Linked DNA regions of Oryctolagus cuniculus. Each later gene encodes a partner of the first gene's protein in a complex. Links are inferred from orthologs where the notes say so. Each region holds a gene or a part of one and is shown in the gene's direction. Other genes may lie near its edges.

Region 1 (3,509 bases):
AGCAGATGGAAGATCACTGTTTCTTCCTCTCTGTAATGCTTTCAGAATAAATATGTAAATTTAAATGAATAACGAAAAACAAAAAACAGAACTGATTTAGCTCATACCACTTCTGTCTGAGCATGTGCTTAGTTTAGATGACCTGGAGATTCAGTGTGCTGGTGATAACAGTCTCTGTTACACGTAATACAGTGTGCTGGTGATAACAGTTTTTGTTACACGGTAACACAGTGTGCTGGTGATAACAGTCCCTGTTACACGTAACACAGTGTGCTGGTGATAACAGTCCCTGTTACACGGTAACACAGTGTGCTGGTGATAACAGTCCCTGTTACACGTAACACAGTGTGCTGGTGATAACAGTCCCTGTTACACGGTAACACAATGTGCTGGTGATAACAGTCCCTGTTACACGGTAACACAGTGTGCTGGTGATAACAGTCCCTGTTACACGGTAACACAATGTGCTGGTGATAACAGTCCCTGTTACACGGTAACACAGTGTGCTGGTGATAACAGTCTTTGTTACACGGTAACACAATGTGCTGGTGATAACAGTCCCTGTTACACGGTAACACAGTGTGCTGGTGATAACAGTCTTTGTTACACGGTAACACAGTGTGCTGGTGATAACAGCCCCTGTTACACGGTAACACAGTGTGCTGGTGATAACAGTCCCTGTTACACGGTAACACAGTGTGCTGGTGATAACAGTCCCTGTTACACGGTGACACAGTGTGCTGGTGATAACAGTCCCTGTTACACGGTGACACAGTGTGCTGGTGATAACAGTCCCTGTTACACGGTAACACAGTGTGCTGGTGATAACAGCCCCTGTTACACGTAATGCAGTGTGCTAGTGATAACAGTCCCTGTTACACGGTGACGCAGTGTGCTGGTGATAACAGTCCCTGTTACACGGTAACACAGTGTGCTGGTGATAACAGTCCCTGTTACACGGTAACACAGTGTGCTGGTGATAACAGTCTCTGTTACATGGTAACGCAGTGTGCTGGTAATTACAGTCCCTGTTAGACGGTAACGCAGTGTCCTGGTGATAACAGTCCCTGTTAGACGGTAACGAGGTGCGCTGGTGATAACTGAGTGATAACATTGGGAGTTAGGTCTCTGAGTAAATGAAACCAAGGCATGACCAGGCTTCTCTCCTTCCAGACGCACCCTCATGGTCTAAATCATGGCTGGCGCTGGTTGGCACAGATCTTGAACATGGAGCCCCTATCCGATGTCACAGCCACTCTTCTCTTTGACTTCTTGGAGGTATGTGATTCGGTTAGCACAGAGGAGAAGGCCACTGTCAGTGCTGCCTGGGACCACCGGGTGACATGACCGGGGACACAGTATAGAATCGCAGCCTGGGGATGACGATTTGGTGCACTTGGGACACCTGCATCCCATATCCGAGTGCCTGGTTGAAATTGTCCCATCTCTGCTTCCGATTCCAGCTTCCTGCTAATGCCCACCGTGGGAGACAGTGGTGATGACTTAAGTACTGGGCCCCTGCCGCCCACATGGGAGACCTGGATGGAATTTCAGGCTCCTGGTTTCAGCCTGGTCCCTAGCTGTTACGGGCTGTTACTGGGGTGAACCAGCAGGTCAAAGTTCTCGCTGTCTGTCTGTCTCTCAGTTTCTGTCCTTCCTGCTCCCTCTTCTCTACCTCTCAAGTTAATAAAAATAAGTAAAATAAAATAAAAATAAAAATTGAGCCTGATGAGTTTGGGCATGAGGTTCCCATGTCATAAGACAATCCCAGCTTTCATTTTTTCTTCCCACTCTGCTTGTCCTCTCTGTGTGGATGTTCTTTTATCATAAAAAAGAGAAAATTGGAGGCTGCCACTGTGGCACAGCAGATTAAGCCACCACTGCAATGCCAGCATGCCATATGAGTGCCAGTTTGTGTCCCAGCTGCTCCACTTCTGATCCGGCTCTCTGCTATGTCCTGGGAAAGCAGTAGAAGATGGCCCAAGTATTTGGGCTCCTGCATCCGTGTGGGAGACCCAGATGAAGTTCCTGACTGTGGCCTGGCCAAGTCCTAGCTGTTGCAGCCATTTGGGGAGTAAGTTATCATATGGAAGATGAATCTCTGTCTCTCCCTCTCTCGTAACTGTCTTTAAAAAAAAAAAAAGATTGTCAGCGCTGCGGCTCACTGGGCTAATCCTCTGCCTGCGGCGCCAGCACACCGGGTTCTAGTCCCAGTTGGGGCGCTGGATTCTGTCCCGATTACTCCTCTTCCAGTCCAGCTCTCTGCTGTGGCCCGGGAGTGCAGTGGAGGATGGCCCAAGTGCTTGGGCCCTGCACCCGCATGGGAGACCAGGAGGAAGCACCTGGCTCCTGGCTTCGGATTGGTGCAGCGCACCAGCCGTAGCAGCCATTAGGGGGGTGAACCAACGGAAGGAAGACCTTTCTCTCTGTCTCTCTCTCTCACTGTCTAACTCTGCCTGACCAAAAAAAAAAAAAAAAGATTTATTTATTTATTTTTAAAGATTTTATTTATTTGAAAGACAGAGTTACAGAGACAGGTCTTCCATCCGCTGGTTCACTCCTCAGATGGCTGCAACAACTGGAGCTGTGCCAATCCGAAGCCAGGAGCTTCTTCCAGGTCTCCCACGTGGGTGCAGGGACCCAAGCACTTGGACCATCTTCTACTGCTTTCCCAGGGCATAGCAGAGAGCTGGACCGGAAGTGGAGCAGCCGGGACTAGAACCGGTGCCCATATGGGATGCCGGTGCTTCAGGCCAGGGCTTTAACCCGCTGCACCACAGCACAGGCCCCAAGATTTATTTATTAATTTAGAGGCAGAGTTACAGAGAGGCAGAGAGAGAGGTTCACCTGCTGGTTTACTCCCCAAATGGCCATAACGGCTGGAGCTGTGCCAATCCGAAGCCAGGAACCAGGAGTTTCTTCTGGGTCTCCCATACGGGTGCAGGGGCCCAAGGACTTATGCCATCTTCTGCTGCTTTACCAGACCATAGCAGAGAGCTGGATCAGAAGTGGAGCAGCTGGGACTCGAACCGGCGCCCATGTGGGATGCCGGCACTGCAGGCGGTGGCTTTACCTGCTGCGCCACAGCGCCATCCCCTTAGGAGACAATTCTTAGAGAAGAAGGTTCGCGGCCAGCACTGTAGCACGGTGGTTAAACCGCCACTCATGATGCTGGCATGCCACATTGCAGTGCTGGTTTGAGTCCCGGCTCTTCTGCTTTTGAATCCAACGCCCTGCTCGTGTTCCTGGGAAGGTAATGGAAGACGGCCCAAGTACTTGGGACCCTGCCACTCATTTGGGAGACTAGATGGAGTTCAGCCTGGCCCAGACCTGGCTGTTGCAGCCATTTTGGGGAGTGAACCAGCAGATGGAAGTTGTATCTCTTTCCTCTCTGTGTCACTCTGCCTTTCAAATAAATAATAACTAAATCTCTTCCAAAGCAACAGGAAGAAAGGTTGGGCCTGTGATGTCACAGGCCAAAGTCGCTGTACAGGAACAGTGATCCTGAG
Region 2 (4,016 bases), on another chromosome or scaffold:
AGCACAGGTCTTTGGCCCCAAAGTCCTCGTGTGCGCATGCCCGGGAATTGTATGTGCCTTCCCCTCAGCTGATTGGCTGGCGGGACTGGCTTCTGCCAATGAGACTCGGGCTCCACCGGGGCTGCCAACGGCGGTTGGGGAGGCTAACCGCCATGCTGAGCTACGATGGCTGGGGCGACTGGCCGTTTCCGAGGTCGAGCCATGGGGCGGTTTCCGCTCACCCTGCCGGTGGCCGATGTGAGTATCTGTGCGGGTAGAAGCGAGGCCGTTTTCGCCCCTGTTTGGGCGTCTCTCGCTCCCACCCCCGAGGAGAGGGGAAAGGAATAATGGGAGCGACTATACACGGAGCCCTGTTGGTGAGCCCGGCGCCGTGCAGAATTGTGAGCTAGGTGGGTACACGCCGGGGTTTCGCGGGAAGCCGAGGCCGCCTGCGCCCACTGGGGAGCAATTGCCGGAGACTGAATTCAAATCCGGGTGCCTTTATTCCCCAGCTCTCCTTTCTCGGCGCCCTCCTTTTGGGAACCGGGTTCTTTCAAGAATCTCACGTTGAACAGACGTGTTGGCGGTGAACGTAAGAGAGTCTAGGATCTCGATGCGTATCTATTTCTTAAGCCTTGTGGTGGAAACCTAGATATCTGTTATGTTGTTTACTTTTTTGCTTGTCTGCAGAAATAGTTTTTAAAAAAGTAGCCTTTATTTATTTGAAATGCAGAATGACAGAGAGGGGGAGACAGAACTTCCATCTGGTGGTTCACACCTTGTTCACTCCTTGGCAATAGCCAGGGCGGGGCCAGGCCGAAGCCAGGAGCCCCTAACTCCATCTGGGTCTCCCACTAATATGGCAAGAACCCAAGCACCCGGGCCTGGGCTGTCTCCTAGGTGCACTCCTAGCAGGAAGCTAGATGAGAAGTGCGGAGGACCCAGAACTTGCACTTGACACTCTGAAATGAGACGCCATTAACCCAAGCAGCAGCTTGTTTACATTTCTGTTAGGGTCTGTGGGATCTGTGTGAGCGTCTTCTGTGCCACCACGCTATGCCGCGATGGTTGGGAAGTCGGTTGACTTGAGTTGGTGCATATTAAGAGGACTCCCTCAATTCAGGAAGAAAGCATGCACCGTGGAGGGGTAGAGAGCGGGGGTCTCGAGGCAGCGGAAGCCGCAGCCTGGAGCGGAGAGCGGCGGCTGTCGGGGCGCGGGCTCTGACGTCACTGCGGCGCGCCGTTTCCGGTGCCCAGCACTGGCAGCGAATGACTTCCCCCTCTGCGGGGCCGGGGCCGGAACCGGGCTCGCCGCGACGCCCCGGAGCCCACGGCCGCGTCGTGCCCGCGGGCGAATCCGCCACATCGAGGGTCCCACCCGCGCTGGGGACCATGGCCACCGACTCGTGGGCTCTGGCGGTAGACGAGCAGGAAGCGGCGGCTGAGTCGGTGGGTTGCTTTCAGCCATAAAAGGGTCAAGGGACCAGTTCTGGATGGGGACTTGATCCCTGGGAAAGAACAGCCCCTAGACTGGTCGTGGCAGGGGTGGGTTCTGGGGAGGAGAATGGTAGAGCCTGAGCAGTCCGGCTCAGGAAGGCAGGTGAGCGCTCCCATCCTTAAATCGCCCGCCTGCCGGACTGCTCCAGCTTGCGCTCGCCTTGCGGTAGGGGGGTCTGGCAGCCAGGAAAGCCTCCCCTGGTCCTCTTAGCTTCCTTCTGTTCTTCTGGGACTGACACACAGTAAGCAAAATATGTGTTACGCGTTAATTTCTCAAACCTCAGCACTGTGTTCTGGTGGGCTTTGTATCTACTTCTGTTAGTACTTACTTCTGTAAGCCTTTGTCTTATTTTTTTGTAGTTGATAAAACAGTTTATGCATGTACATAATTTATAGTCAAATAGTTTTAAAACTGTGGTTCTTAAGAATTTTTTCCTTCTGAGAGGCAACTTAATTTTCTCTTGAGATGGATGGACAATATTTACTCTTTTTTTTTTTTTTTTTTTTTTTTTTTTTTTGATAGGCAGAGTGGACAGTGAGAGAGAGAGACAGAGAGAAAGGTCTTCCTTTGCCGTTGGATCACCCTCCAATGGCCGCCGCTGCAGCCGGCGCACCGCGCTGATCCGATGGCAGGAGCCAGGATCCAGGTGCTTTTCCTGGTCTCCCATGGGGTGCAGGGCCCAAGCACCTGGGCCATCCTCCACTGCACTCCCTGGCCATAGCAGAGAGCTGGCCTGGAAGAGGGGCAACCGGGACAGAATCCGGCGCCCCAACCGGGACTAGAACCCGGTGTGCCGGCGCCGCAAGGTGGAGGATTAGCCTATTGAGCCACGGCGCCGGCTCTCTTTTTTTTTTTTTTTTTAAAGATTGATTTGATTTGATTTGAAAGAGTTACAAGAGAGGTAGAGACAGAGAGACAGGTCTTCCATCCGCTGGTTCACTCCCCAGATGGCCGCAATGGCTGGAGCTGTGCTGATCCAGAGCCAGGAGCTTCTTCCAGGTCTCTCACGTGGGTACAGGGGCCCAGGGACTTTGGCAAATTACCCTTTCCCAGGCCATAGCAGAGAGCTGGATCCAAAGAGGAGCAGCCGGTTTTCAAACCGGCGCCCATATGGGATGCTGGCGCTTCAGGCTGTGCCACAGCGCCAGCCGCAATATTTACTCTTCATTTCCTAAATAACATGCCTGTTTTGCTACTTCCTCAGTAATCAGTTTTAAATATTTATTGACTTGTGACTTCTTCCTGTGTCTTCCCCCACCACACATGCACACTTTTCTTTGTGCCATTTTTCATTGTAATATTGTGATTTTAGAGTATTCCATGTTTATACTACCAACTCATGAAAACTACTTTCCTATAAAACTGTTTCCTTTGAACTTTTATTTGCTTTGTGTTTGTGCTTCATGTATTTTGTATGTATTATCAGTTCATTCCAATCTCTCTGCCTAGTTGCCTAAGCTTATCTCAAGATGTTTGCCAGCATCCCATGTGGGTGCCGGTTTGAGTCCTGGCTGCTCCACTTCCAATCCAGTGTTTGGGCCCCTGCAACCATGTGGGAGATCCAGAAGAAGCTCCTGGCTTCCAATTGGCCCAGTTCCAGCTGTTGGGCCATTTGGGGAGTGAACCAGTAGATGGAAGATCTCTGTCTCTCCTTGCCTCTGCTTTTCTGTAACTCTGCCTTCCAAATAAATAAATGTTCAGCCAATTAAGTATTCTATCAATTACATCTCTCCCAGGCTGTTAGTTTGTTTCAAACTGAACTAGTCACCCTTGTGTATAGAGTGCAGTGCATTTTGGGAGGTGAAGGGGAACAGAGAATATTTAGTTTCGCCTTGTTCTGGCAATTGCTTTTTTCTCTTGGGTTAGAGCCTCTTCTTTCTGTATCCCTGTCTTCATCTTCCTTGATTTGTTCCTTTATTTTAGTGCAGCCTTTGGTCAGCTTTTTGGAGGTGTATGGGAAGGAAATTTTTTTGTTGAAAAACTGCATGTATAGAGATACCTTATTTTGTCCTATCATCTGGATAATAGTATTGTAGGTTGAAAATTACTTTCCTGCCAGATTTTAAAGGCATTTTTCCATTGCCTTCTAGACTTCTGTATTTGTTGCGATGTGTGAGACAATTATGATTCCTCATGTGAGTTGTTTTTCCCTTTCCAAGTCTGGAGTATCCTGTTTGTTCAGCAGATACAAAAAGTGATACATGTCTTGCTTGGTATGGGTCTGTTTGCATCCATTTTACTTGTATACTAGACAAGTCTCTTAAATTTGGAGCATTCTTGTCCTTCAGTTATAGGAAAAAAAAAATTTTTTGACAGGCAGAGTGGACAGTGAGAAAGAGACAGAGAGAAAGGTCTTCCTTTGCCTCCAATGGCCGCTGTGGCCGGCACGCTGTGGCCGGTGCACCGCGCTGATCCGAAGGCAGGAGCCAGGTGCTTCTCCTGGTCTCCCATGGGGTGCAGGGCCCAAGGACTTGGGCCATCCTCCACTGCACTCCCGGGCCGTAGCAGAGAGCTGGCCTGGAAGAGGGGCAACCGGGAC

The links. Proteins that work in one complex are often made in the same cells at the same time.
Region 2: the proteins of GLE1 (region 1) and ATP-dependent RNA helicase DDX19B are in contact, whole or in part, in a crystal structure (PDB 6B4J), measured with the Homo sapiens proteins. The link is inferred for Oryctolagus cuniculus from reciprocal best matches to the Homo sapiens genes GLE1 and DDX19B. Residues at the interface, in NP_001003722.1 of Homo sapiens: Lys416, Lys419, Met420, Gln423, Lys424, Thr427, Ile428, Ser431, Gln432, Ile433, Ser434, Thr435, Ile436, Lys440, Gln458, Ser459, Gly460, Lys479, Lys483, Lys486, Gln487, Glu490, Glu491, Ser494, His495, Gln554, Gln562, Asn565; in NP_009173.1 of Homo sapiens: Cys325, Asn326, Tyr328, Gly329, Ala330, Ile331, Thr332, Ile333, Ala334, Glu356, Gly357, His358, Gln359, Arg378, Arg380, Glu381, Gly382, Lys383, Glu384, Lys385, Glu400, Gln401, Ser403, Phe433, Gly434, Lys435, Arg436, Asp469, Asp470, Leu471.

Annotation. Positions count from the first base shown.
Region 1 is NC_091432.1:231,800,752-231,804,260, forward strand, and holds part of GLE1 (mRNA export factor GLE1), read left to right. Parts: intron 1-1,173; coding exon 1,174-1,278; intron 1,279-3,509. UniProt on the Homo sapiens protein: Required for the export of mRNAs containing poly(A) tails from the nucleus into the cytoplasm. May be involved in the terminal step of the mRNA transport through the nuclear pore complex (NPC).
Region 2 is NC_091449.1:56,909,020-56,913,035, reverse strand, and holds the start of ATP-dependent RNA helicase DDX19B, read left to right. Parts: upstream 1-1,207; 5' UTR 1,208-1,248; coding exon 1,249-1,428; intron 1,429-4,016. UniProt on the Homo sapiens protein: ATP-dependent RNA helicase involved in mRNA export from the nucleus.